Elephas maximus indicus: one gene and its partners. The main gene of each other region encodes a partner of the protein of the gene in region 2 in a complex. Links are inferred from orthologs where the notes say so. Each region holds a gene or a part of one and is shown on either strand. Other genes may lie near its edges.

Region 1 (7,180 bases), on a different chromosome or scaffold from region 2:
GCACGGATGTCCAGATCATCACTAGAGAAAGTCGCAGGAAGGGGCCTTGTATGGCCTCTGTCTTTAAATACATATGTATTTAAAGCTAACTTTATCCAATCTTTAAAAAGTACAAGGAAAGATTCCACAACTACCCTCAAGAACACATACGAGAGCTAGTGAAGCTCACCTTTTATCTAACCCAAGTTCCTTGGGCTCCATCACGCCTAGAAGGGAGCCACCCACCCTCTGCACAACCCAGGCAGCCGCTCTCTCTTCAACAAGACAAGTCTACCTGTAGCACTTATCACTTCCACAGCCACTCTCTCAACATCATAATCCAGGTAGTAAGCGTTTCCGGAATGCTTACTACAATGGGGACTGCCCTCCAGGAGCTCACAAAGCAGAGGGTACCAGCCATACCCAACCAACTTCTCAACAAGCCAGACTTGAGCAGCAGTAAAATAAAACCCATTGCCATCAAGTTGTTTCTAAGTCATAGAACCCTATAGGACAGAGCAGAACTGCCCCATGGGGTTTCCAAAGCTGTAATCTTTACAGAAGAGACTGCTATCTCTTTCTCACTGCAGAGTCGCTAGTGGGTTGAAACCGCCAACCTTTCAGATACCAGCTGAATGCTTAACCACTGTACCACCAGGGCTCCTTAGTAAAATAAAGGGGCAGCCAGTGCCCTCTGGTGTGGAGGGGAAGAGAGCTGTCCCCACCAGGGAGCAATCTGGAACAAGGCTCTGCTTCCAGAGAATCTACACAAAGCCTGCCATTAACATGCAACAGTGAAGGTCACCCTCACACCCAAATCCCCATGCTTCAAGACCCTCAATGGCAGGAGGGCCAATGTCTGCTGCATATCCGTAAGGCCAAGGCTAAGCAATGGGCCAGGCTACAAATGCTTTACTCATTTTTTCACCAATTTTTATTGAGTACCCGGCACACAATAGTGTAGATGCTGTAACAAAAGTAAGCAAGGGGTCCCAAGTCCCCATCTTCAAGGAGTTCACTTTCCAGTATGGGACCCAGAGAGGTCCACAGGCAACTACGAGAATGCCATAACTAGGGCAATGGGGAAAGTGGTGGTTCAGTGGTAGAATCCTGCCTTCCACGCCGGGGACCTGGTTCGATTCCCACCCAATGCACCCCGTGTGCAACTATCACTCATCTGTCGAAAAAGGCTTACGTGTTGTTAGGATGCCGAACGGGTTTCAGTGGAGCTTCCAGACTAAAACAGACTAAGGAAAAGGGCCTGGTGATCTACTTCTGAAAATCTGCCAATAAAAATCCTATGGATCACAACAGTCCGATCAACAACCGATCACAGGATGGTGCAGGACTGGGCAGCGAAACCACTGTGCAGGGGCTGCCATGAGTAGAGGGCTAACCCAACAACAGCTAACAATCCATGACCCGTAACTTAGGAGTTAAAATTGGAGCCATTATTCCCTGTCCTTGAGTACAAAGAATGTGGCCCAGATGAATTGGACTCAGAAGGACACATCAACTGGGCCTTGAGGTACAAAAAAAATAGCTAGAACAACCTTGAAAAACATCTTTTAGTGACTCTTTTACATATTCGGAGCACAAAAGACCCACCCATTTTCCACTCTTACTTTTTCTATTAGCATTTAACAAACAGTAACATTTGTTGGACCAGTGAAGACCCTCCTGTCATTACCGAAATTTGTACCAGTAGCTATTAAGAAAGTCAATTCAAAATGCAGAATCATGGTGATTTAGCAGTTTTTAGTCAATGTGTGAAAATGTGAAACTTTTAATGATTTTACCCACTGTAATGTTAATGTTAATATATACTGATGATTCTGTAACATTCCTTGGACTCGGGCAGACGTGGTTCTGGCAGCGTGCTTGTCCGTTTCCTACTTTTGCCTCTTGGAACATATGCCAAATAAAGTCTTTCTCCTTGCTCTACTATAACTTTGTGGTGATTTTACCCTAGGACACTGGACAGGACCCAGAGGATGCTTCCCAGTCCTGGCAGGTGGGAATAAGCCTGTGTTGCCAATGTGAGCACATATGCATCTGTGAACATGCATCTCAGGAGGATGCCCGGGGCTGGAGGGCAACATCACCACCAAACCCAGGAGTGTCCAGGCTGCAGGAGAGGGGGGATCTCAGGACAATCCTCCCACTCCAGGTCTGCTCTGCTCTCTGCTTACAGATAAGGAAACTGAAGCTGAAGGAGGCACAGTAAGTCAGAGTCACGACCAGAACTCAGGTGGCCACTATCTCAGTCATGCCTTCATTATAGCCTAGAGTTTAAGAGGGTTTCCCAAAGGTCGGCAGTTCGAATCCACCAGGTGCTCCTTGGAAACTCCATGAGGCAGTTCTACTCTGTCCTACAGGGTAGCTATGGTCAGATTCGACTCGACGGCAATGGGTTTGGTTTTTCTTTTTCTGGACTCAGACCGCAGATTCGATTCCTGCCTCTGCCACTGACCAGCTGTGTGGCCTCGGGCAAATGACCACCTCTCTGTGCCGCAGTTTCCTCAACTGTAAAACAGGTCTAAAAATAGTACCTTATCGGTGTACTAAGAAAATTAAATTTACTAACATAACGCAATGAGCACAATGCCTGGGACGTAGTGAACGGTATATGAGTGATGCTGCCAGGATTATTACTACTATTGCACGACTACCCCGAGCGGCGGGTGGGCTCACAACCCGGGCTCCTTCCGCTGCCGCGCGCCTCACTCCCCGCCGGCTCCGAGAACGGTCCCACCGTCGACGCCCGGCCGGGAGCGCCGGCAATGCAGTGAGGAGCCCCGGGGCCGCAGGCGCTCTGACCGGGAAGGCCGTGACCCCAGCCGCCGGCCGGGCAGGACGCACGCGCGGGACGCGCAGGACCGAACCTCCAGTGCGCGCCCCCTGCCCCGGGAATGAGGGGGTCGGCCGCGGGAGAGGGGAGGGAAGCGGCCACACCCCGCCCGGGAGAGGAAGGAGGTCCAAAAGCGGAGAGGGAGTCGCTCCTGGACCAAACAGGCGTCCCCGGACCCCCTACCCCCAGCCCAGAGACCGGGTCGGTTCCTCACACTCTGCAGCAGACTCCTCCTCTGCGCCGCCATCTTGGAGGGACCCCCGCGGGCGCTCCCGCCTCCCGGCAGAGCAGGCGAGAAGAGCGGCTAGAGCGGCCTGAAGGAGGCGAGGACGACTGCATTGCCAGGGAGCATGCGCCCAGCGCCACCCTACGGCCGTTGTCAGTTAGGGCCGTGGCGGACCGTGTGCGCAGGCGCACTTGCTTTCCTACTTTTTTCCCTCCGGGGGAAATTTAAAAGAAGGCTTTATTGTACCCCTACATTTTACAAACCGCCCTCCCATCCTTATATGATTGCCTCTCACCCGTCTCTATTTGCGCACTTTCTCAGGGGTACCTTTCAAATGAAACTTCTAAATCCCTGGATTAGGGTCCCCGTATTTTGTGAATCCATGTAGTATACCCCCTTTGGAGTCCTTGGGTGGTGCAAATGGCTAAACGCACACTACTAGCCAAAAAGTTGGTGGTTCGAACCCACTCAGAGGCACCTCAAAAGAAACAACTAGCGATCTGCTTCCGAGAGGTCACAGCCTTGAAAGCCCTATGGAGCAGTTCTACTTCGCACACATGGGGTCTCCAGGAGTGGGAACCAACAGGATGGCAACTAACAACAACTGGTGCCTTTGGGAATTTTATCCAAAGTCACAAGCATCCTTTGGCTTTTATGATCTCCATAGTGTAACTTCTTATTGCATTACCTTTTAAATCTTCCTTTAAAATGCTTGTTTGTAACTGTTATAAGCCTCCTCCTGAGGCACTGGTGGTTTAGTGGTAGAATTCTCGCCTTTCACGCAGGAGAACCCATCTGCATTTTACGCACAAACACCACCCATCTGTCATGGGAGCTTTGCATGTTGCTGTGATGCTGAACAGGTTTCAGCGGAGCTGACAGGCTAGGAAGAAAAGCCTGGTGAACTACTTCCAAAAATCAGCCGATTAAAGCCCTATGGATCACAATGGTCTGATTCACAACTGACCGTGGGGATCGTGCACAACCACGTGGGCTTTTTTTCCATTGTACGTGGGATCGCCATGAGTCAGGGCCAACTGGACCGACCACAGCTAACAACAACAACCTGAACACAATAGCTGGAACAGGGGGTACATGTTCATTCATTCACTCAACAAATACTCCTTGAGTGATCATGCCTGGCATTATAGTGGGCACAGGGCATAACACAGCAAGCAAAACAGGCCATCAAAGCTAACATTTTAATTGGAGAGGACAACATTTTTATACATAAGTTACTTCAAATGGTGTTAAGTACTAGGAAGGAGATGTTTATGGATAGTGCCGTGGGAGTGTGGGGCAAGGACCCGGTCTGTGGAAGCCATGCTTGGGCTGAGATCTGAACAGGTGTTAACTGCTAACAGGGAAGGGCTGGCCAGACAGAGGGGACAGCTAGTGCAAAGACCAAGGAAAGAGAGAGCGCGTGGGCCCAAGAAACTGCCAGAAGGCTGGTGTGACTAGAGCAGAGGTGGAGGAGGAGTGAGGTGATGTGGTGGGGGTGAAGGGGCAGCCTCTGGGCATGCAGGCCCCAGGCAGGAGTTTGACTTCTCATCCCCAGGACGTAGTTGCTGACTTCTGAGCAAGCCAGTGACATGATTCTATTGGTAGAAAGATCCCCTTGACTACTGCCTACAAGACATATTTTTAGGGAGATTGGAAGGAGGCAGAAAGGCCAGTTAGGGGAATATTGTAATAGCTCTAGGCAAGAGATGTTAGTGGTTCGAAATGGCTGATGGCAGTGGGTGGATTTTATTTAGGAGATGAAATTGTCAGGGCTTGATGATGGAGTAGTTGTGGGTGGTGATGGGAAGAAATGTGTCAAAGATATCTCCCATATTTCTGGCAAGAGCATCTAGGTTTGGGGGAGTGAGAAGGGAATGACCATGAATGAGTTCTATTTGAACTCATTGAGTTAGAGGTGTTTTTGAGACATGTAAGTAGAGAAGTCAATTGTTGGATAGAGGGGACTGGAGCTCAGAGCAGAGGCAAAGACATGGTGAGGAGTGTCTAAGGAGGGTGTGGGCAACAGCGTGAGATGCTTGTGAGAGCTCTAGTTAGAAGAGAGCAGAAGAAAGCCCATTAGAGTTAGTGGTCCAGAGGCCTTTGGCCCAGGCAGTTCAGGTAGGATGTAGGACCTAAAAAAAAACCGTCACTGCTGTCAGGTTTTTTCAACTCATAGTCACCCTGTAGGACAGAGTAGAACTGCCCCATAGAGTTTCTAAGGCTGTAAATCTTTACAGAAGTAGACTGCCCCATCTTTCTCCTGTGCAGAGTAGCTGATGGGTTTGAACTGCACACCTCTTGATTAGTAGTTGAGCACTTAACCACTGCACCACCAGGGCTCCTCAGGATGTAGGACAGAAGCCTAAATCCAGTGAGTTGAGAGATGGCTGGAAAATGGAGACATGGAGACCTAAGAGTAGGTGGTTCTTCCCAGTTGGTGAACTGTGACAAGGAAGAGACAGAAAAGGGAACATGGAAGGGGATGTGGGATTGAGAGAAGGTTTTCTTTTAGTTTGGAAGGACCTAAACTTGAGTCTGTTTGAACGCTGAAGGGAAGGCTTAATACAGAAGAGTTGATTCAGAAGATAGAGGGTAGGGGTGGGAGCGAGCCCAGGGCTGGGATGGTGACTCATCATTTTGCTGTCCTACCAACATAGCACCACATGACTCAGGATGGCTGCTCTAGCCATTTTGTCTTAATTCAGCTAGCAGGTAGGAGGAAGGTAGGAAGATGACACCTCCCTCCCTTTCCTTTTTTTAAAATTAAACATTTATTTGCAAGATGTGTCTCTTTCCTTTTAAGGAGACTTCTGGAGGTTCCCCATGATGCTTCTACTTATGCCTCGTTGGCTACAACCTAGCCCCATGGCCATATCTAGCTGCAAGGGAGGCCAGGAAATGTAGGCTTTGGACTGACCGATAACGTGCCCAGCTACAAATGGGATCTATTACCAGAGCAGGATTGGAGAATGGGAACCAGGAGGCTGTGAGCAGTATCCGCCATGAAGAAGGGAGGAGGAAAAGGGGCAGGTGGTTTGTCTGTTGAAGGAAAGCCTGGAAAAAATAAAGATTTGGAGCTCAACCCCCTCCATTCTAATCCCTGCTCCATATCCTGTCACCTGAGTGCTCTTGAACAAGCAACCTCCTCTCCCTGGGCCTCAGTATTCCCCTCTGTAAAAAGGGAGTATGAGGATTAAATGAGATGCCATGGAAAGACCTGACCTGTGGTAGGCACCAATGTTTGTTATATTCAGACTACAATTTAATTAAAAAAAAAAAAAAACTTTATTGTGCTTTAAGTGAAAGTACAATTTCATTTTCTACAGATTTAATAAACCCACATTGAGCACCTGGTGTATACCAGGTAGTTTTTAACCATGTACTTATTTATGTCTCATTCCAACCTCGTAAGGCAGGTATTATCCCGCTTATTTGATAAAGCAGGAAATTCCAGTTCAGTGAGCCACCCAAAAAATAGATGTTGGGATTTGAACTCAGGTCTTCTAACTCCAAGGCATTTCCTGGCAACCCTGTGAGGTAAGCAGACCCTAGAAGGCCCTTCACAGCTCAGCCTCAGCATAACCACTTATAGTTTCCCAAACAACCATATCATTCCCTGCTTCCATGCCTCTGTAAATCTCGTTTGTGCTGCCTAGAATGCCTTTCCCACACCTGCCCACCTGGTGAACCTCTGCTCACTCTTCAAGACTCCTATCAGATGAAATCCCTATGCCATGAATCACTCTCCATCACCTTTGATTATTTAAAACCGTAACTATGGTTTCAGGGACCAGGACTTAGAAGACTGGAACTGTGGCAACTCAGCCCTGGTCTTCAGGCCCAGAGGAGCTGCTCAGCAAATGTTGGTGGCATCGAACTGGTTGAAGAGTCGGACAGCCACAGCCATTCATGGACACTTTGGTAGATGAGGAAACTGAGGCACAGACAGGCCCAAGGTCTCTGAGTGATTTAGAGGAGAGCTGCAACTCTAACTTGTGGCCCCTGGCCCCATACCCACCCCTTTTTCCATACCTAACCCCTCCCTCAAACAATGCAGTGTGGGGGGCCCTGCCTCCAATATCCCTCTGATCTGGTTTTCCAGGAAGCAAGGGGAGAACACA
Region 2 (7,134 bases):
AGGCAAGTAATTCAAGAGATCTTCGTAAAGTTCATGTCGTTAGTTGCTGTCGAGCAGACTCATGTAACGAAGGTAGCCAAATGCCTCATCATCTAATTAGTGATGTGCATGAATGGATGAAAGAGATTCCCACTGTCCCTACCTACTATCCAGCAAAACCACAGCCAAGGGAACAGGCTTGGCGGAATCAGCAGGGAAAGAAGATGCTGCTGAGTTTGACCCTAGTCTGGCACCGTGAAGAGACATGGGAGGTATAAAATAAGTGGGGCTTATTATATAATGAGTGGGATATAGCATTCTTCAGTGCCGACTCATGGAAACCCCATGTGTGCAGAGGAGAGTTTTCAAGGCTGTGACCCTTGGGAAACAGAATGCTAGGCCTGTCTTCTAAGGTACCTCAGGGTGGGTTTGAACTGTTTGTGCCACCCAGGAGCTCCTAAAATTAGTGTTAAGCCCCCCAAATGTAGAATGAGGCCTATTCCTGGAAGGTCTTAAATGCTGAGTTGTAAAAAAAGCTGGTCTTTATTTTTTAGCTATGTAAACTGTTTGAGCAGAAAGAGTAATATGCACAGAGATGCACTTTGGGAAAAGGAATCTTGTCGGTGGTATGATTGACAGCTGTACTGTCCGGTACAGTAGCCACTGGCCACATGCAGCTATTTAAATTTAACTTAATTAAGCTAAAATAAAAAATCAGTTCCTTAGTTGCACTAGCCACATTTCAAGGGCTCAACAGCCACATGTGGCCAGTGGCTACCTTACCGAACAGCACAAATGTAAAACATTTCCATCATCATAGAAAGTTCTATTGGACAGTGCTAGCGACAAGAGACTGGTTAGAAACAATCGATATTAGAATAGTCTAGGGCAGAGGTATTTGAATTATAAGCTTTGGTGGCCACAGTGAGGATGGTGAGGAGTGGCAAGTGGAAAGCTATCTTTGATGCTGGCTTTAAAGGACTCATCAAATGGCTGCCTAAAGGAAGGCACATGATTTCCTTATTTATTTGTTTTAGCAGTCTTCTCTGGAATTTTCCAGCTCCATTATTTCCCTCTCGATTTCATAGAACCCCTAATGGCTTGTTTTCATGCTTTAGCAGGACCCTTCCTGACAAGGTGTGTGACGAGAAGCTCCTACTGATAAGTGCCAGATGCACTTTAGTGTGGAAAAGGTGATGAATTTCAGAAAAGATCATCAAAACTACACTGATGGGATGATGACCTTGCAGCTAAGACACAAAAGGGACAGTGTCTGTTTCCAGCTCTTGACAGTGTCAGTCTGATGGGGCTACTGCACTCAGTGTAATCAACACCATGCTAACCTTTACCCATAACCTTGAAGATAAATGTCCACTTTGAAGACAACTCCTTGATGCTTCCTTCCATCAGAGCAAATATTTAAGTTTGGTAGACAATGTGTTTGAACCACGTAAGTTTTCGTTTTCTTACTCTACAAATGTAACATAATTTTGAGTACCTGGATTACTCGATGGCACCGGGTTTGCTTTTTTGGTTTGGATTACTACAAGGGAGACATTAATTTAATCTCTGTACCCCATACCTGATCCCCAGACAAGTAGCATCAGCATTGCCTAGGAACTTATTAGAACTGCAAATTCTCAGGCCCCACCTAAACAACAACAACAAAAAACCAAAACAGTTGCCATTGAGTCGATTCCAACTCATCGCGCCCCTACAGGACAGAGTAGAACTGCCCCACAGGATTTCCAAGGAGCAGCTGGTAGATTCGAACTGCTGACCTTTTGGTTAGCAGCGGTAGCTCTTACACCACCAGGCCCTACCTAGACATACTGAATTAGAAACTCTGGGGGCAGGCCTAACACTCTGCTTTAAGAATCCCTCCAGGTGATTCCGATACACAGTAAAGTATGAGGACCACTGTAAATGTAGCCAACTTCTTTAGTCTTCCAGTGTTAAGTTTGGGGGCATTGTCAAAACACATGCATTTTGACTCAGCTCCTTCACCTTCCATACTTGCCCCATCCATCCATCCATCCATCCATCCATCCATTTATTCATTTACATAATCTATGTTCAGACTATTTAAAAAATTAAGAATAAAAAGTTTAAATACAGTGCGACTTTCTGACCATTGACCCAATAGAATTGAAATCTTGAAACTTAAGTTTAGTTGCCAGAATATCTTTCCCCACTATTGTCATCTTTCATATATTCTCTAAAATTATGTGAAGGCAAAATTCACTTCCAAAATTTCAAAATAAGCATTTGTTAAAACAGCCCTTTGCCAGTTACTACCTAGGTTTTAATGGGAAATGAATTTCAGATATAGAAAAGGCATCTTTTTAGCACTCTTCAATAACTGTCTAGTGACAGAGATATAAAAATGACTTAGACAAAGATGCAGCCCTCAAGGAGCTTAACCATCAGACACTACCTGCAGCTATCTGTACTGCAATGTAGTTAAGGGCAAAACCAGTGGAGTGTGGAGGAGAGACACTTATTATTGGGGTGGGATGTTGTAGAAACGTCACAGGATCCTGGAGGATAAACAGAATTTGACAGGAAGAGAAAGGGACAGGTGAGGGAGGAGGCTCAGGCAGAAGGAACAAAATGAACAAAAGCTGTAAGTTTTGGGCAGTCAAGCCTCAGGAGGAGATGGATGCGGTGGCGGCTGAGACTGGGGCAGTGGGCCACTTCGAGGGTTTCTGATAATCCCGGCAAGCGACTTTGAAAGGAGGCAGCTTGCAAAAATGCACACGCTGTCTGTTGTTATAGCCATTCCACGCGGCCTTTCAAAGCACAGACAAGACCTCTGAGCTCCCAGGGGATCCCCATTCATTCATCCCTCAAATATTGACTGAGCGCCCGCTATGTGCCTAGCCCTGCTGGGGACAGGAGCAGCCCCCTGCCTGCGACTTCGATGTGTAATGAAAGGCCGGTCCCTCGCACCCAGGCTCCCACGCCGGGGACCCGCCGCGGCCTCACCGCTCTCCACCTACAGCCCCTGGCTCCTGGGCGACTCCCGCAGCGGCTCACCTGGTTCCCGGGCGAAGGCGGGAATGACGACGGTGGGGTCGGACGCGGCTCTGGCCCGGCTGGCAGCGCTGGGACGCGAATGCGGGCGCAGACGCCGGCGGTTCCCGAGCCGTTGCGCCCGAGCTTGCGGGCGTTCGGAGCGGGCAGGGGGCATAGGCAGCAGGGGTAGGGGAGCGGGGACCGGGATAGCTGGGCCGCGCGTCCGGAGCCCAAGGGAACTCCTTACCTGTGCCATCCAGGCCCCCACTGGCTTCGAGGTTTTACACTTTTGATTGCAGGCCTACTTGGTGCCAGGGCTCGTGATCTGCACTGCGCATCAATTCACAAGTCTTCCGGTTACCGGTTAGGTCAGAAGAGAGACGTAAGGAAACCTCTCGAAGGGAGATAGCCAAGATTTCCCTAAATCAGAACCGCCTGGCATCTATGCTAAAAATGCAGTGCCCATCTCGGACTTATCTAATTAGACTGCAGCGCGCCCTGGGAAGCTGTGTTTTAAAACAAACTCCCAGGTTGATTCTTCTGTACATAAAAGTTTGAGAATTACTAGGAGAGCTTGGCTGGAAAAAATCTCACTTTAGGGCTAATATTTGCTTTTGTGACAGACTTCGTCAGAATCCCTAAGAAGAAGCCGTATGTCCCTGAGCAGATGGGAAGGCAGCGGCTTTCTGGCTGGAACCTTTTTCTTTTTATATGCAAGTTATTTCTTGGAAATTGAGAATTTCCCTGAGCAGGTGTTTGGCTGCCGGTGCCTATACTGAGTTCAAAGATCTTGGGCCCTTTTCCCGATGCCCCATTTGTCATCGTCGCTTTCTAGCACCAGAGCCAGGCGTTGCCCCAGCCCACCACGGTGGGGCGCACGAGGCATGTGTTGCCCGCTAGTCTCTTCCTTGGCGAGTCTGCCTACGCGCCCTTAAGGACATCAGTCCTTGGAAGTTCCTGCTTCTGGCCTCCAGCTGTTGCTCTCTTGTCGCGAGAACTGCTCCTCCTCCCGTACTCTCACATCACGAAACCCCTCCCGCGAGCAGGTTCCATATTGGGTGACTCTCGGCTCGCGGAGAGTCCCGGGACCTGTTCTCGCGAGAGTACAGAGGGAGGCTCCTGCTCACTGGCTCTGGATCCGCGACCGCTGGAGTCTCCGTGGGCGCTGCAGCTGGAGTCCGGCGACGCAGCCCAGAGACGGCCTGGTCTGGGCGAGTGTGCAGGGGGGTCGCGGCGGGCGCAGCCCCGAGCCGGGTAGCGCGCCCCTGTCCTGAGCCGGGGTCGTCCCCGTCACTAAGGCGCATCTAGGTGCTGCAGCTGACAGGGGCCGCGCGCGCGCGCGGGAGTCCGAGGGGCCGCGGCAGCCGCACCTGCGCCGGCGACCAGCGCAGGGTCCCGGCCCTGCCCGGCAGGGAGCGAGAGTCCGGGAGCGGGTGCAGGCGCAGGCAGGGGCCCCGCAGGGCCACCTCCTCACCCTGCGGCCGCCGCTGGAAGATGTCTCAGGAGAGGCCCACGTTCTACCGGCAGGAGCTGAACAAGACAATCTGGGAGGTGCCTGAGCGCTATCAGAACCTGTCCCCGGTGGGCTCCGGTGCCTATGGCTCGGTATGGTGAGTGTCGCAGGGCCTGAGGCTAAGGTGGACGGGGTGGCCCCTCACGCCCAAGGGCCAGGCCTGCCCCCACGGCTCAGCGATGCGCCAAGTGGCAGGAATTTTTCTCGAGGAACGGCATCGCTGCCCCTTCGAGCTCTGTCTTGCACCCCTGGCACCCCCATCTGCACAGCAACTAGGTGGTCAGCCGTGTGCAGGACGCAGTTCCATGCTGGGCTGGGTGGGGGTGGGGGTGGGGGTGCTGGAATTCGGCCCTGGCTCGCGCCCTGCGCGAGGGACAGGGAAGGCTTCTCAGAAGGCTGCTGCTCCGGGGACAGGGACGAGGGTGCCTTCTGCTTGCGGGGGGAGGGGGTGTCCCTGCTGGCGTCGAACAGAAGGGCCCCCTCCGGGGGTGCGCCCACCCTGGGGCGCTGGAGCTGGCCCTCTGTGCGGACAAGCCCAGGAGCTGCCGGGAGAAGGCAGAGCCCAACTGGGAGACTGTGATCATCTGAACAACGAGGAAGGGCGCTCTCCCCGGGCTTTTTTTGCAAAGCTGCGTTGAAATTCCGTTTTGAGAAGGGTTCCTTTTGAATTAGCAGCGACCTATAGAGCTTAAAATACTGACTTTATCTCGGTGAACACCGTGCCAGTTTGAGTGGTGTGTTTCCGATTCGGTTGAAAGCGTATTTCCTTTTCGCGGGGGGGTGGGGGAGGTGGTGGCGGTGGCGGTGGCGGCGATAGTGCCTGCGAGAACCCTGCTGTTTAAGAAACCGGTCGTCTCACTGATTAGTCACATTCCTCTGCTCATTTAAGTATTGTTTGACAAAACAATTTTCTCATTTGGAGCAAAGGATATTCAGGACCGTTGGACGCTCTCAAGATCAAAAAGTTAACCGTGCTGGGAAGGACTGTAAATAGTTTTAAATTGCGACAGTTCCTACAAATACTGTGTTTTTAAAGCCCCTTATAGAGATTTTGCAGGAAACTTATCTGCATTTGTGACCTGAGGTACACGACAGTTTTCATAGCATGTAGCAAAAGAAGGAAGAGACGCCTTTTTACACCGCAAGTGTTTTAAATTAAACGGGTACAATAAAGTTTCCGGACTTGAAATGTTTCACTAACTTCTCTCTTGTTTCCAAAGTTTTATGTACTGTATTTTAGATGTACTGTAATCTGGGCGCCCCGATCTGAAACTAAATATCAGACTTAATTATTAACTGTTTCTGGGTTTTAGTAATTTCGTGTACATGCATCATTTGAAAAGGGGTCTGTAAAATAAGTTTTTGCTTAGGAATATATTCCAGTTTTTTGAATGTGTTAATCTTTAAGTGTAATTCCTGTGTTCCTTAAAGTCACATCATGAATTTCCTGTTTGGTAGACTTTTCGGGTAATTAAGATTGTGCAATTGTGCCCTGCAACAGATCATATTGCATTTTCTAGTTAAAGCTGCTTGCGTTATGTCGCAGATGGCACCATGCTTGACATCTTTCTCTCATTTTAAAGGAATTTGCAGCTTTTTACATTCACTATATATATTTCTTGATTTACAACTTTTCAAAGATGTATTTGAGTCATTGCAGCTTTTACAGTTCATTAATTTACCTTCATTTTTGAATTGACATATTTATTTTTGCAATATCAGGTTTTTGTTTCCAGTGTTTCCGTTTAAACTTTAATGGAGTGATACAGCAAAATAACTCAGCTACAGGGAATTTAGGTGAACTTGAAAAAATTTGCTCGCAGGGTTTCCCTGTAAGTATGAATAGCTCAGCACTAGACCACACATCAGATTTCTAATAAAGTGTCGCTAAAATGAACTTCATATTTCTTTAGTACTCTTCTGGCTTATAGAAGCCAGCAGTATCTGACATTTGGAAGTAATTTTGTTGAATAGATTTTTAAAAATAGGTAATACATTCATATTTTATAAAATTCAAAATATATAAAAGAGTATTCAGTGAAAAGTCTCCCTCCCTTTCTTTTTTGTTCCCCAGCTGCCCTCTTCCCTTCTGCGGAAACAACCACTGTTAAGTTTCTTGTGTGTCTTTTCAGGAAGGCAGAGGTTTTTTTTCTTTGTCTTTTTTTAAAGTAGCATTTCTAGTAAATATTTCTAGGCGGATTTAAGATACAGATGGAATCCCTCGGTGGTAAAAATGGGTAATGTACTTGGCTGCTAACTGAAAAGCTGGAAGTTCGAGTCTACTCAGAGGTGCGTTGGAAGAAAGGCCGGGTGACCTACGTAGGAGAAAGTCAGCCATTTAAACCCTGTGGAGTACAGTTCTACTCTGACGTGCGTGGGATTGCCGTGTGTCGGAGTCTACTGGAAGGTGTGTGTGTGAGAGAGAGAAGATGCAACCTATAGAGTTTTGGTGGAAGAAAATACAAGTGAAATTGCATAAAAATTGACTATAAAACAAGTATCACTGCTTGTGTAATGAAAATACCAGAACTTAGATTTGCAAATAAGTATCATCTCAGAGTAGCTATTTGAAGTTGTTCTTTCAATTATCAACTTTTCAGGTGTGACCCGAAAAAATAATCCAT
Region 3 (7,758 bases), on a different chromosome or scaffold from region 2:
TGCTTAGCATCCACCTAAGTTCAATGAGGCTTTAATTTCCTATTAGGAATTGTGATGCTGGGGTTAGGGTGTGAAATGTGCGGCTGCTTTGCTCCCACAGACTCTTCTACTGTGTAGGGACTATTTAACCACTTTTGGGGCATAATCGATGCTTCTGCTGTCCATAGCAGTGTTTCACACAAAAGCACCCATGTATCAATCAAACCAACCTAAGCGCTAGCATTATAGCTCTCTTCCCTTAACAGGTACAGTTTTCTGGCCACAGCTGGAACTCTGCTTATTTGTGTGCAGTGGGGCAGGGCTAATAGACACAAGACAATTAGCCTCATCTTCCCTGTAGTAAGAACAAAAGGTGCCTTAGCTCTTCCTATTACATTTAGATACACAAGGTACCCTCCCTGTCAATCTTTCCTGGGTGGAATAAAATGGAAAACAAATGATCCAGGTTGATTTTTATTTCCTACACCTCAGGATACAGATATTAAAAATCTTATTCCAAGCAACACTGTATCACCGTGCACACTTTTTTCTTGTTTGAAAAAAAAAAAAAAGATTCTCTCCTTCTCATCTCTGAATCTATCAATTTCCAGAATCAACTATCCATTTGCTCTTTCAACTCCACACTAATAGCTTCACTTTATGTCTGAACTCTTCAAGAAACGTCATTGTAATTTCTCAAGTGTCTTCTCTGATGAATGGATTATTCACTCCATGCCCCTCATGACTTCAGTTCACAGTTTTGTAGCCCTATCAAAGTCAGTTTCACTACTCATTCCAGATAAGCACTCAGCCAATGTATTGCCAATAACACTTACTCTTGTACTGACTTAAAATATACAGTGCAACTTGCCAAGTTTCTGTTTTTGGCAAGAAGGTCCCTTAGTTCCCAAGATCTTTGACCATCCATTTTTAGATCCAAATTCTTAATATTTGGATATTACTCTCTCTCTCTCTTTAATGTGACCTAAGTGTTCCCTAAAAGAATTAGAAAAAGAGATCAACCATCTATTTGCTTTCCTGGACAAGGAAAAAAAATGTCCTGGCCATTGCATTATGGTCACTTACCTGGAAATATAACTGCTAAAACTTTGGATTTAAACAATATTTTCCAGCTTATATATAAAAAAACAAAAAACTCCCAAAATAACCCCAAAAAGTTATAGTAGGAATCAGAGTGTTAAAGATTAAAATTAGCAGTACACACAGCTCCAAAAGACCATTTTTCTTTATCTGAATTCTCTTTCCAAACAAACTAAATTCACATTCATTTGCAATCTCCCAAGTCTCTCACTACTGTAGCAGGAATGCAAACAAAAGCTCTACAAATGACTAAAACCATAATTTAAATGCCACTATCACATACGTTTTTTAAAATGAAAAAACAGCAAGAAATTTCATTGTAGAGATGGTCCCATTACAAAGACGTCATTAACTGGCCTTGACTCACTTGTCTAATCCTGTCTTAAAATATGTTGCAGGTCTAGATCCACTGAATCCTGGCTGTTCACTTTAGTTAATGTCAGGAAAGCCAGAAGGCTCTCCTACAACAGCTCTAGGGTGAATACAGAAGTCTACTTTAACAATATTAACTCAGATATCCTCAAATTAATTCTGTAATACGATTCTAACACACCAGTATTGCAAGCTGCTTACTGTTAATAACACTGGAATAGGCCACTAAACTGTGTTGATTTCATTATTGAAGAAACTAACACAAATAGTAATTAAGTCCCCCATAACAGTGCTTATGCCAGGTATCTAGCGCATCAGGAACATACATTTTCGGCAATCTAATAATACCAAAACAAACAAACAAACGAGTCGAAAAATCTAATAATAGCACCCCATTTTTCAAGAAATTCAATGTCATCTAACGAGCTTTAAAGTTTTTAGGATAGCTGTCACGAGCGAGCAGGCGTGGAGGCAGCCTCAGCGTTCGTCTCTGGGCCTGCGGCAGGTCTCAGCGTGCACGAAACCGGGGCCTCCAAGGGGTCAGTCAAGGGGATCCCCTCTGCTCTCGTGGAAGTAAAGTGGGGAAGTTCGAGTGTGCGGGCGATTGCGAGCTCCAGGTTGCTCAAGGACGCCTCAGGAAGGGCAGGGAGCCGTCACTGTCGGTGGGAAATACCACTCTGGGCCGAGTGCCCTAGAAAGCAGAAGTTAGGCGTCTCTGCTCGCACGCACAGACCTCTGATGGGAAATGGTCTGCATCCTGCCCTGATTTGGGAGGTCCGCGTTTCGCCCCTGCAAACCGGCTGTCCGGCGCTACCCGCCCCGGGGTCCAGGGCTCGGCCGGCCGGGCCCCGTGTTCTGCGATGGGAAGCGAGGCCCGGGAGGAGGAGCGCCGCGAGCGACGAGGCGTCCCACGACCGCGCTGCATGCCCAGGGCCGAGAAAGCCTGAGACGCTCGGGACTGCGTCCCGCTCTTCCGGCGCCAACTTCTCCGTCTGTCGGGCCCGAACTTCCCCGAGCTGCACTTGGTCGCGGAGCTGCGGAGGTCCAGCACTGAGCTCCGCGAAAGCCGGGAACGCTCACTCCCGCCGCTACCGCCTGGGCGGAGCCCGGCCCGGGAAGGGGTGCCCTGTGGGGCGCCCCTAGGCCCGCTGGACTCCGGCCTCCAACTGGGCCTCGGCCCCGAGACGATGGGGCAACTCGCGAGCGCGGCGGGCCTGCCTCCCTCCCTCCCTGGCCTCCGCGGCCTCCAGCCTGGCCCTTACCTGGCTCCCCGACCGGGCGCGAGCAGCAGCTGGGCGCGGAGGCCCCGCGCGCAGCGAGGACGGCGGCAGAGGGCCGGGAGGACGGCGGCCCGCGCAGCTTCCACGCTTCCGCCGAGTCAGGAGTTGAACATTCCGCCTCTCCGCCCGGCGCCAATGAGGAAGACAGTCACAGCAACAGCACCACCTACCTCCGACCGCGGAACCGCGAAACCGCGGAATCCCCCTGCCCTCGCCTGGCACGCCCGCCTACCCGGCAGCCGCTCACACACGCCAGCAAGCCGGGCGTGGGGAACGAACTCTGGCCTCCGGGGCCTTCATCACCGAGGCCTGCGATCCGCCCAGGAACCCACCGAGGACGTCTGCGCGCCCCCCGGGGGGCTGTTAGGGGACTTCCCTGTCCTCAAAGTGCACCTGCCCTGTAGTTGGGAGAACGGCGGAGGGGGGGGAAGGGGGCGGAGTGACTTCTTCGCCCCTTTGTACCTTACCATCTTGTTGGTAGTAACACTACCAATTCCATCAAGGCAGTTCTCATCAACATTTACTGTGGCGATAGGCAGTAGGATACAAAGAGATAGGAGACTACTTACTGTCCTACAGAAGTTAAATTGGGAAGGGAGTAGACATACAAAGATATTCCTGAGGAGATAGGGATGAAGGCTGCTTCGGTAGAACCAACAGTAGGTACCTTCTCGAATTTCGAGGAAGGGTCATGGTCTACTGCTCTGGTTGGTGGTTTTAACAGAGCAGAAATCAGATGAGGGAACTAGAATCCATTTCGGATGTGGGCAAAAAGTGGGAATGGGTATTGGGAAGAAAAATGACTGTTGATTGGGGGAGGATGGTTCTGTGGAGGAAAGTGTGAGCTGAGGTTGCAAAGGTATAGGTCACGTATTCTGGGTTTTGAATTTGAATTTTACACTCCCTGGTTACAGGGAAACTGTGGAAAGTCAGAAACAAGAGAATAAAGTTTTTGTTCTGATGATGTTTTAGAGAAGCCCTGGTGGCACAGTGGTTCAGAACTCAGCTGATAACCAACAGGTTGGCATTTCAAATCCACCAGCCCCTCCTTGGAAACCCTATGGGATGGTTCTATTCTGTCCTGTAGGGTTGCTGTGAGTCGGTGCTGATTCCACGGCAACGGGTACGTTCTTCCTACAACGGTTGCAGGGTGGGTTGCTAGTGCAAAACTGGGAAGCAGTTACAGGATTATGAGAGCCTAGGTTAGAGTGTACCAAATGGGATTAGAAAAGAGGAAATGGAGTTGAGAGAGATTTTTCAGCAAGAGGCCACTGAAATTAGTGACCCAATAGATGTGGAAGACAAGAAGAGCCAGAGATGATGCCAAGATCAAAATTGCATGACTGGAAGAATGATAGTGTCATTGACAGAAATAGTGATGTGTGGAGGGGAAGCTGGCTGGCTTCATGTTGAGTTCTAGGTCATGGGAGGAAAACAGGTAAAGATGTGGTGGCTGAAACATGAAACTGAAATTCATAAAAGAGGACAGGTGGGAAATATAAAATTTGCAAATCATCGTATAGGTTCAAGACATGAAAGTGGAGGGATTGGTGAATATATGTTAAAAAATTTCTAGTCTGTTACTCACATTAATTATTGAATTTTCTCTTTGATAAGGACTGGGAATTTTAGCATTAATAGTTTTCTGTTTTCATAACCAAGGTATGAGGATTCATGAAAACTGTTATACAAAAAAAGAATTCCTGATTTAGGTAATCAAGTAATTCTTAAAAACCATCCAACCATCAAAGGGAAAACTAAAGCTCTTTAGACCCAGGTATAAGGAGACTTCAATCATTTTATTTCACCTTCAAGGACACTTTATTGTGACAGAAAGGACACTAGGCTGCAGGTCAAGGAAGGTCCTGAGTCCAGCCACTGAACAGCTGGGAAGTTTTGCTAGACAGGCCCCAGTTTCCTTGTCTGCAAAATAAGAGACTTGCAGTTTCCAGCTTTAAAACCATGGATGTATTGCTTTAAGTTTGGCCTGCATGCCATAAGAGTCTTAATGTTTCTTAGCCACATTCCCCTTCCTTCCCATCTACTTCTCCTTTATTCTATTTTCCCCACATTATTAGGCTAAGAGAATAGCCAGCAAGAACAATAAACACTGTAGAGTAGTCTCACAAACATGCTTTAACAATAATCTGGTAGGCATTCTCGGGTCTTCGTAATTAGACTGCAAATTCCTTGAGGCTATTCTTATCTTCTATTATATCTGTCCATAGCTGAAATAAATACATAAAAATTGTGTGATGAACTAATTGCCACAAGTCTAATTTTCTTTCATTAAGCTACTTGCTTCCATATGACTATGCAGATTTCTTTGGCCCCTAAACGTATTGTCCAATGCCTTTTCCTGTGACTGACTCTATTCTTTCAAACTATCCAATCTTTTTGAAATCATTTTGGTTAATTCTAACCAATTGTTGTTGTTAGGTGCCATCGAATCAGTTCCAACTTACAGCAAACCTGTGTACAAACACTAAACAAAACACTGCCTGGTCCCGCGCCATCCTAACAATCGTCGCTATGTTTGAGCCCATTGTTCCAGCCACTGTGTCAGTCCATCTTGTTGAGACTTTCCCCTTTTTCTCTGACCCTCTACCAAGCATGATGTCCTTCACCAGGGACTGACCCCTCCTAATAACATGTCCAAAGTATGTGAGACAAAGTCTCACCATGCTTATTTCTAAGGAGCATTCTGGCTGTACTTCTTCCAAGACAGGTTTGTTCTTTCTTCTGGCAGTCCATGGTATGTTCAATATTCTTCGCCAGCACCATAATTCAAAGGCATCAATTCTTCTTCAGTCTTCCTCGTTCATTGTCCAGCTTTTGCATGCATATAAGGTGATTGAAAATATCCTGGCTTGGGCCAGGTACACCATAGGCCTCAAGGTGACATTTTTGCTTTTTAACACTTTAAAGAGGTCTTTTATAACAATCTTGCCCAATGTGATGCGTCATTTGATTTCTTGACTGCTGCTTCTGTGGGCGTTGATTGTGGATCCAAATAAAATGAAATCCTTGATTTCAGTCTTTTCTCTATTTATCATGATGTTGCTTCTTGGTTCAGTTGTGAGGATTTTTGTTTTCTTTATGTTGAGGTGTAGTCCATACTGAAGGCTGTAGTCTTTGATCTTCATCAGTAAGTGCTTCAAGCCCTCCTGACTTTTAGCAAGCAAGGTTATGTCATCTGTATATCACAGGTTATGAGTCATCCTCCAGTCCTGATGCTGTGTTCCTCTTCATATAGTCCAGCTTCTCGGATTCTTTGCTCAGCATACAGATTCAATAAGTATGGTGAAAGGATATAACCCTTATGCACACCTTTCTTAACTTTAAACCATGCACTAACCCCTTGTTCTATTCAAACAACTGCCTCTTGGTCTAAGTGCAGGTTCCTCATGAGTACAATTAAGTGTTCGGGAATTCCCACTCTTGGCAATGTTATCCATACTTTGTTATGATCCATACAGTTGAATGCCTTTGCATAGTCAATAAAACAAAGGTAAGCATCTTTCTGATATTCTCTGCTTTCAGTCAAGATCCATGTGACATAAGCAATGATATCCCTCATTCCACATCCTTTTCTGACGTACTGTTGTAACTGCTTTTGGTTTTAAATTTTTGTTGTGCTTTTTTTTTTTTTAAGTGAAACTTTACAAATCAAGTCAGTCTCTCATACAAAAATTTATATACGCCTTGCTATATACTCCTAATTGCTCTCCCCCTAATGAGACAGCCTGCTCCTTCCCTCCACTCTCTATTTTCATGTCCATTCCACCAGCTTCTGACCGCCTCTGCCCTCTCATATCTCCTCCAGATAGGAGATGCCAACATAGTCTCAAGTGTCTACTTGATCAAAGAAGCTTATTCTTCACTAGCATCTTTTTCTATCCCATTGTCCAGTCCAATCCCTGTCTGAAGAGTTGGCTTTGGGAATGGTTCCTGCCTTGGGCTAACAAAAGGTCTGGGGACCATAACCTCCTGGGCCCTTCTAGTCTCAGTCTGACCATTAAGTCTGATCTTTTTACAAGAATTTGAGGTCTGCATCCCACTGCTCTCCTGCTCCCTCAGGGGTTCTCTGTTGTGTCCCCTGTCAAGGCAGTCATTGGTTATGGCCAGGCACCACCTAGTTCTTCTGGTCTCATGCTGATATAGTCTCTGGTTTATGTGGTCCTTTCTGCCTCTTGGGCTCATAATTACCTTGTGTCCTTCGTGTTCTTCATTCTCTTTTGGTCCAGGTGGGTTGAGACTAGTTGATGCATCTTAGATGACAACTTGCTAATGTTTAAGACCCCAGAACCCACTCTCCAAAGTGGGATGCAGAACGTTTTCTTAATAGATTTTATTATGCCAATTGACTAAGATGTCCCTTGAAACCATGGCTCCCGAACTCCTACCCCTGCTGTGCTGGCCTTTGAAGCATTCAGTTTATTCAGGAAACGTCTTTGCTTTGGTTTAGTCCAGTTGTTCTGACCTCTCCCGTATTGTGTGTTGTCTTTTCCTTCACCTAAAATAGTTCTTATCCATGATCTAATTAGTAAATACCCCTCTTTTTCCCTCCCTCCCTTCCCCCTCTCGTAACCATCAAAGAATATTTTCTTCTCTCTTTAAACTATTTCTCGAGTTCTTATAATAGTGGTCTTACACAATATTTGTCCTTTTGCAACTGACTAATTTCACTTAGCATAATGCCTTCCAGATTCCTCCATGTTATGAAATGTTTCACAGATTCATCACTGTAAGGATGTAAGAATACATCACTCTAGGATGTATTCCAAGGAGTGGGATATCTGGTAGTTCCATTTCTAGCTTTTTAAGGAAACGCCAAATCAATTTCCAAAGTGCTTGTACCATTTTACATTCCCACCAGCAGTGTATGAGTGTTCCAGTCTCTCTACGATCTCTCCAACATTTCTTATTTTGTGTTCTTTGGATTAATGCCAGCCTTGTTGGAGTGAGATGGAATCTCATTGTAGTTTTGATCTGCATTTCTTTAATGGCTAATGATCATGAGCAT
Region 4 (7,601 bases), on a different chromosome or scaffold from region 2:
AATGATCTCAATTCTCATGAAGACATGAAACAAACAGCTAAACCACTATATGTAGCAGTATCAGACCTTCAAGAATGCTTTTAAGTCATGTAAAAATGTATCAAAATTATTACAACTACCAAACCAAAAACCCACCGCCATCAAGTTGTTTCCAACTCATAATGACCCTATCCAAGTAATACATACACACTTATTGCCATGGAGTGAATTCCAACTCAGGGCAACACCATGTGTTACAGAGCTGTGCTGCACAGGGTTTTTATGGCTGTGATCTTTCGGAATCAGATCACCAGGCCTTTCTCCCAAGGTGCCTTCTGGCTAGCAGCCAAGCAGTTTGCTCCACCCAAGGTCTCGGCACCTACTAAATGCTGGATACTGTACTAAGTACCTCACATAGTTTCACTTATTCCTAAGAACACTGCAAAGTATGTTACTATCCTTACAGAGCAGGAAACTGAAGCTCTGAGAAGTGACATACTCAAGGTGACACTCAACGAGTCAATGGAAGTGTGGGGATTTGAATTCAAATCTACCTAGCTCCAAAGAATGTGCTTTCTTATAAATTGTTCTACCTCCAATTTCGCATTGGAGAATTGGGCAGTGATGTGAACGGATGTGTTCAGTGGTCTTAATAATTTCACCAAGAAGAGGGAAAAAAATTCTAAATCGGGATCACCTTTTGAAATCCACAGTGCATTATTTAAACCCCACTTCTTGCCAAGAGACAATCAGCAGATAAAAAAAAAAAAGTTTAGAAGTCCTTTTAATGTAAACTAAACTTCATCACAAGTGAACTACCACTTTGGACAAGTCCCCGGGGGTTAGTGGCTCTCTCCTGTGTGCACTTCCAGCACACTGCACACCACCGCCAGCTCGTAAAAAAGCACCTCACCCAGTTCACAGGCATACTCAACACTAGTACTGTCGGACTCCTGGCAAAGAGGATACAAAGCTTTTTAAATAAGGCCCATCACAGCCCTTATGGAGTTAACAGACTAGCCAAGGAGCCCATTTACACTTACATGTACAGTTACCACTTAGTCAAACAAACGAAGTGTGAGAAATCCCAAAGCAAAAGTATGTATAACATGCTATCAGAGCCCAGAGGAGGGAAGCAACCAGCCTACTTGTCATCTTATGCTGGAAGGAGTGTTTGTTTACATTAAGTCCCTCCTTGACAACCCCTTCCAACCTGTCAATCCAGGATCCCACGCCCCCACACACGAACACTCACACAATCGTAGAGTAGGAATTGTCGCTCCTAAATGTGACTTTGCTGTAGTTTAAAAGTATTAATGCCATAAGATAATTTTTCTTTAGCTTCATCAGATGAAGAAGATTGGTTTCTCAAAGCAAAATGAGGCCAAGCAAACCTGAAAAATCCAAGAACACTTCTCCACACTGCCCACTTATCATGAGAAATCAAGGCAAACTAACATACACGGTATTTCTCAAATTGTCTTTTTAACTTATCAGATGCTCAAGAGACGATACAACAACTGAAATTGAGACACTTCCACTGCGAATTTCACAGGCATTTAAGCTAATTCCATCTAGGGCATTAAAACATAATTATTTGTATAAGCCAAATGAGAAAAATTCGGTGGAGTCCATGTACCCAAAACTAGACATCAAGGCTTGTACTTAATGCGATCTGCAAATCCCCAAGAGACCACGGAGTGCAAGAACAGTGATTTATCTCAGCCGATCATTACGCCTTTACAAACTTGCAAAAAATGACCTTTCAAGAACTGCAGCATTTGTTCTGATCTGGGCAATCCAACAGTTTAGAAAAACTGAATAAGCTGCTGCTTCTAAAAATAAGGGAGGAGGGGGAAGCATACAGCTTTTAACTTTAGTTATAAATGCCTAAGGCAATAAACTCGCACAGTAAGGAGTATAAAAGCTAAAAATGAACACCAAAATATTACTCAATCTAACTTTCATGGTGAATTCCTGAGTTCACAGTAAGGTCTAGAAACTTAAATGCAGTGGAACTGATCTGTTTAAATAATTAAAAGAAAAAAAACTATTTTTTTATTTAATAAAAAAACTGTTTTCTTAGTATTTTTCAACTCCTCACCAACTGGAAGGCTTTGCAAAACAAAAAGTGTCAGCGAGCCATATTTACATAATAAAAATGTTTTCTTCGGGCTCAAAGTAGGGCTGTGCTCTAGCCTGGAGGAAAGGCGAGCCCGTCGCACGCTCCCCGGCCGCTGCCGTCACCGACGCGCGCGGGTCGGGCCGAGCGCCCCGAGGGCCCCCCCACACCCCCAGGCGGGCGCAGCGCAGGGCGCGAGCGCGGCCCGACGTGTTTACTCTCCGTGCGCCCCGGGGAGCCGCTCCCCTCCCGCCGGGAGCACTTGTTCGCGGCGTCGCTGGCGACCCCGGGGTAGCCCGGCCTCCGTCGGACCGGCGCGATCCACCGAGCGACCGCATGGGTGCCGGGGCTCCTCGCGCTCCCTGCCCCGGCGGCGCCGGCCCGGAACGCCCGGGGGCTCGAGGCTCAGGCCTCGCGGCGGGGCCCAGGGGCGCCCGAGAGGCATCGGCGACCGTACTGGGCCCCAAAGCGGGGCCGCGGGGTGAGGAGGCGCGCCTCGGCCCGGGAGCAGACAATGCGGGAGGAGAGGGGCTGCGCAGGGAGGAGGGGTCGGCGGGGCCGGGCCGCTGCCCGCACCGCCCATTCATCCCTCCAGCCGGCCCAGCCCTCCGCCCCCGGCCCCCGCCCCCCTCCCGGCCCCCGCCCCGAGCCAAGCCGCAGGGGAGGGGCCCTCGCTCCTCGCCGGGACCACTCCTCAAATCACGAAAGTTCCCTCAACTCGGCCAACTCAGTTGCGCTCTCACCGTGCGGCGCCCGGGGCTCCCCCGAGGGCCGAGCCGGAGCAGCTCCGCACCTTCGCCGCGGAGAAAGACAATAGGTGGCTGCTCCCCCGGCGGCGGCGGCGGCTGAGGCGGCGGCAGCCGAGGCGAGAAACGAGCACGGCGGTCCCGGCGGCGCCCAGACGCTTCACCGCGGCTCCTCCGGCTCTGAGCTGGCCCCGCACACAGCCCCTGACCGCCGGCGCATGCGCTACAAGCCGCCCGGAATGGGCGGAGACCTGGGGAGGACGGCACCGCCTACAAGCCCTCCTGGGCCGCCGGGGAGCGCGGAACCGAAGGCCTCAACTGGGATTACACGGCAGAGGTGCCCATCATAGTCCGTGCGACCAATAGGAAGGCGCCTGGGCGGTGCGCTCAGGTTGCTAAGGCAAGCTGAGGTTGACTGCCGCTGCTGAGCCGCGGCGGCAAAGTCATCAAAGTAGTGAGGCTGGCAGAGGCTGCCTGGGAAATGCCCACGCACCACATCTCTGAAAAAGCTCCCCGCCCTGTCTCCGGAAACCGCCCTTCCTCTGTGCGCCCGATGCTTACCTGAGCTGTAGCGCTTAGCACACAAACCGAAATGATTTACCCTTCAACCTCCCCCCGCCCTTGAAATCAGGAAGTGCGGTTTAGTCTTCTGTGTCCAGCGCTCAGGAGAGTCATGGCTAGGTGTGCAGCCAGGCTTGTCTGGATGGATGGATGGATGGACGGACGGAGGGACGGACGGCGGTGTGATGGTGTCACAACTGTGACAGTGAACTTTTGGCAACTCCATCCCACAAATTCATACAGTCTTCAAGTTTGAAAGGACCGCAGAAATCATCTGGTGCTTTTGAAAAGCTACAATCGGTGTACCAGTGGTAGTCTAGGAGACAATAAGTTGGTACGCGAAGAAACTTCTTTATTTTGATAGGTATGTGTTTATTTTGATGTGCTTTGGGGGGCGGGGGGATATGCCGAGCACGTCGAACCATTATTTCACTGTTATTATTTCTTAGGTAGGAGCCCTAGTGGTGCAATCGTTAAGGGCACGGCTGCTAGCCAAAAGGTTGGCGGTTTGAACCCTGCAGCGGCTCCGTTCTTGGGGAAAAAAAGACCTGGCGATTTGCTCCTATAAAGATTACAGCCTAGGAAACCCTATGGGGCAATTCTACTCCGTCATATAGGGTCGCTGTGAGTCGGAATTAATTCAGCAGCATACGTTTCTTGGTCAAGTGGCCCAAAACCAAACCATTTCCTTCCAGTCAATATATTTTCTTGGTTCACGATCACATAGTGGTAAAAACAAGGCCAAACATCCCCAGTGTCCTAGTCTCCTAAAAAGTAAGGGGCTATCCTAGAAAATCACTTGGACCCTAACTTTTAATAATCTCAAAGCCTTCTCTTAGAGCCTGGCTGGTCTGATTCGGAGGTGGCAGCAGCAGATGGTTACCATGTCGTCTTTCTTGTGACTGCTGACACCATTCCCTGTTTCCTTACCCCACCCCAGCAGGATTTACACCTTTCCAGTGGGCTACAGAAAGGGTTGAGAGGCCGACACTTTTCAAAGTTTACTATGCCTATGGAACACCTGGGAGATTTTGGTAAATGTGAATTCTGACTCCGTAGGTCTGAGGTGGGCTCTGGGATTCTGCTTTTCTAACAAGCTCACAGGGGTACTGATGTTGCTGGTATGCGACCTCACTTTGAGAAGCAAGAGTCTACTCTAAATTCCCCAGACCACTGAGCTCTCTGTCTTTTGGCGGGAAGTCTGAATAGTTATTTGCATGACTGGAACTTTCTCATCATTCAGGCCTCAGCTTAAAGGTCTTCCTCAGAGAAACCTTCCTTGACCACCCTGTAAAAAAGAACCCACTCAATGAAGTTCAGATACATGCCACAGTATGGGTAACCCTGGAAAACATTATGCTGAGCAAAATAAGTCAGTCACAAAAGGACAAATACTGTATAATCTCACTTATATTAAATAACCAAAAAAAAAGTTGCCATGGAATTCCAATTCACAGTGTCCCTAAAGGACAGGGTAGAACTGCTACATAGGGTTTCCAAAGCTATAAATCTTTACAGAAGCAGACTGCTACATCTTTCTCTCATGGAAGCATATATAGAAACCAAAAACTATTAGTGGTTCCCAGGGATGGGAGGGAGGGGGCAAGAGGGAATTTTTGCTTGGGAGGCAGTAAGTTTTCATTAATGGTGGTAAAATAATTTGGAAAAGGGTAGTGAGATTGGTTATACAACTTGAGGAATGTAATCAATGTCACCGAATTATACTTGTAGAAATTGTTACATTGGTATATATTTGGCTACGTATATTTTCATCACAATAAAAAGAAGAAAAAAAAGTAGCCCATTCATACCTAATTCCTCTCTTTATTTTGCCCAATTTTTTCATAGCATTTATCCCAATATGAAAGTATCTTATTTATCTTGTGTGTTTATTTGCTGGCCTGGGCTCCACTATAATGTAAGTATAACGTAAGCTCCCTAAAGTCTGTTTTTTATCCTCTCTCTCTATAGGGTCGCTATGAGTCGGAATCAACTTGACGGCAATGGGTTTTTTTTTTTTTTTGGTTCTCTCTCTCTCGTACCTACAGCAGTAGGAACTCAATGAAAGTTTTGCATGAATGAATTAGTACAGAAAGAGCTACTGTGAGGTGTCCTCAAACTGAATGTTCCTGACACTAAAGATTTGTTCTTCCAAGTTGCACCAAGGATCTCTAAACAGCTCCATTTCACCAGAAAGATTTCAGATTTATCATTTTCCATGAGTAAACAATTCTACCACTTTCCATGAGTAAGCTTATAAGCCAGGAAAGATACCAGGGCCTAAGAAGCATGGCAAGATTTTTTGTCTCTGAACTGTCTCTCTAGTTGACTTATATCTAATTGATCTGCCTGGTTTATAATACTTAAAAATGTAACAGGGTTACACCCCATTTTACAGAGTACCTAAAAATGCCAGTGTACAAAAAAAAAAAAAACAACAGTTATGAGAACATGCATTTTCTTTGGACCCATGTTTTATAACATGTCCACTTTTATGAAAGAAAAGGCACTGAGAACAAACAACATTTTATTGCTTTTGTGGTAGAACTAGTACCCTGATGTTGCTTTGTGGGAACTTTTACCTTCAGCCCCTGCTTGGTATTAGGCAAACTTCACTACAGCCCCAATTCCATGGCCTTAGCACGTGATCAGATCGGAGTACATCAGAGCATTCTACCTGTAGGCCACTTCTACTTCAGAGGTGGGCACGTGACCCCAAACAGGCCAATCAGGAGCAATAGGAATAAATTGTATTCTCTGTTTAAACTATTAAGGTAGCAGACTTTGTCTTCTTCAGTGGAACCTGGGAGGATATGCTTGTCAGCCAGCTTGTCATTTTGAGGAAATAACCTCTCTGGGAATGGAGCCATCACAGTGGGAAGGTGAGAGAGATGAAAAAAAAAAACATCTTGGTGACAATGGTTGAACTGCTAAATCTAGCCATACCTAAAGATAAAACAATACATAGACTTTTCAACTATGTAAGGCAATAAAACCAGGCAGAGTAGATGTTACAGTCACTTACATCCACAAGAGCCCTAATTAATATGCCATCCATGAGCTGATGATCCCTGGTTAATTCCCTTACCTGCTTCTCAAGTCATTCAGCAAATAGCCCTTGAAAGTGTACTGTGTGCCAGGCGTGAGGCTTGGTCCCGGGGTTGAAGATGAAGAACAAGGTTCTGCCCTCAATGAGCTCACAGTCAAGTGAGGGAAATAGACAAGTAAACCAGCAAGAAATCAAATGTGTTAATGCTCTTAAAGACGCAAGCACAGAGTGCTGGGAGCATAGAGGAGGAGCACTTTTGCCTAGAAAGAAGGTAAAAGGTCAGGGAAGGCATCCTGGAGGATGTAACAGCTAAGCTGAGTCTTAGCAGACAATCACATTAAACCAAGTAAAGGAGAGTGGGATAGTAGAGGGGACTTGGGAGTGTTTGCACAAGTAGCACATTCCCAGAAACAGGAAGAGCAAATTTAAAGACATGGAGGTATCAGAAACTCAGCAGAAGAAATTGGAGAGGGGAAGGGGTAGGAGGTAACACTGGGGGAGGGTAGCAGCTACCAGGTCATGAAGGGCATAGCATACTGCCCTGCTGAGTAGTACAGCCTTTATTCTGAGAGGCCAGGGGGAGCCCTCAAAAGGTTTTAAGCAATGGGACAACAATGAGAACAGATTTTCATCTTACGAAGATCACACTCTCACCGTATGCTTCACCAAAACCAAACCTGTTGCTGTAGTTTGCTGTGGAGTCAATGTCAACTCATGGCGACTCCATGTGTTTCGGAGTAGAATTGTACTCCATGAGGTTTTCAAGGACTGTGAACTTTCAAAATCAGATCACCAGGCCTTTCTTCCAAGGTACCTCTGTGTAGATTCAAACCACCAACCTTTCAGTTAGTAGCCAATTACTTAACTGTTTGTACCACCCAGGGACTCCTACCATGTGCTTAGGGGGCACTGAAGTGAGGCAAGAGAGTGGGGCCTAGAGGCAAGGTACGAGGGAGTCTCTGAGAGAATCCTGACTACAAGCGGAAAGTTTCACAGTGTAGATTAAGTTTTCACTTCTTGGGTAGCAAAGGGAACCTTCTTCTCTCAATGTCAAGCCCAACGCTGTCCAATAGAAATATGATGTGAGCCACATAATTTAAAATTTTCTAGTAGCCACATTTAAAAAGTAAGAGGAGACAGGTGA

Evidence for each region.
Region 1: the proteins of MAPK14 (region 2) and TAB1 are in contact, whole or in part, in a crystal structure (PDB 4LOP), measured with the Mus musculus proteins. The link is inferred for Elephas maximus indicus from reciprocal best matches to the Homo sapiens genes MAPK14 and TAB1. Residues at the interface, in NP_036081.1 of Mus musculus: Gly110, Ala111, Asn115, Ile116, Cys119, Gln120, Lys121, Leu122, Thr123, Asp124, Asp125, His126, Phe129, Val158, Asn159, Glu160, Asp161, Cys162, Leu217, Thr218, Gly219, Arg220, Thr221, Leu222, Asn272, Val273, Phe274, Ile275, Gly276, Ala277; in NP_079885.2 of Mus musculus: Val385, Tyr386, Pro387, Val388, Ser389, Val390, Pro391, Tyr392, Leu405, Ser406, Leu407, Val408, Met409, Pro410.
Region 3: MAPK14 (region 2) and MAP3K20 share a complex: the UniProt entries of both Homo sapiens proteins name them as parts of the signaling complex. The link is inferred for Elephas maximus indicus from reciprocal best matches to the Homo sapiens genes MAPK14 and MAP3K20.
Region 4: MAPK14 (region 2) and AKAP13 share a complex: the UniProt entries of both Homo sapiens proteins name them as parts of the signaling complex. The link is inferred for Elephas maximus indicus from reciprocal best matches to the Homo sapiens genes MAPK14 and AKAP13.

What each region holds. Positions count from the first base shown.
Region 1 is NC_064822.1:183,334,217-183,341,396, reverse strand, and holds the start of TAB1 (TGF-beta-activated kinase 1 and MAP3K7-binding protein 1), read right to left. Parts: upstream 3,101-7,180; 5' UTR 3,078-3,100; coding exon 3,045-3,077; intron 1-3,044. UniProt on the Homo sapiens protein: Key adapter protein that plays an essential role in JNK and NF-kappa-B activation and proinflammatory cytokines production in response to stimulation with TLRs and cytokines.
Region 2 is NC_064819.1:99,704,750-99,711,883, forward strand, and holds the start of MAPK14 (mitogen-activated protein kinase 14), read left to right. Parts: upstream 1-4,072; 5' UTR 4,073-4,491; coding exon 4,492-4,607; intron 4,608-7,134. Other genes in the region: SLC26A8 (testis anion transporter 1), read right to left, coding at 3,019-3,253. UniProt on the Homo sapiens protein: Serine/threonine kinase which acts as an essential component of the MAP kinase signal transduction pathway.
Region 3 is NC_064824.1:71,226,939-71,234,696, reverse strand, and holds the start of MAP3K20 (mitogen-activated protein kinase kinase kinase 20), read right to left. Parts: upstream 3,085-7,758; 5' UTR 2,715-3,084; intron 1-2,714. UniProt on the Homo sapiens protein: Stress-activated component of a protein kinase signal transduction cascade that promotes programmed cell death in response to various stress, such as ribosomal stress, osmotic shock and ionizing radiation.
Region 4 is NC_064831.1:80,886,762-80,894,362, forward strand, and holds the start of AKAP13 (A-kinase anchor protein 13), read right to left. Parts: upstream 3,080-7,601; 5' UTR 2,845-3,079; intron 1-2,844. UniProt on the Homo sapiens protein: Scaffold protein that plays an important role in assembling signaling complexes downstream of several types of G protein-coupled receptors.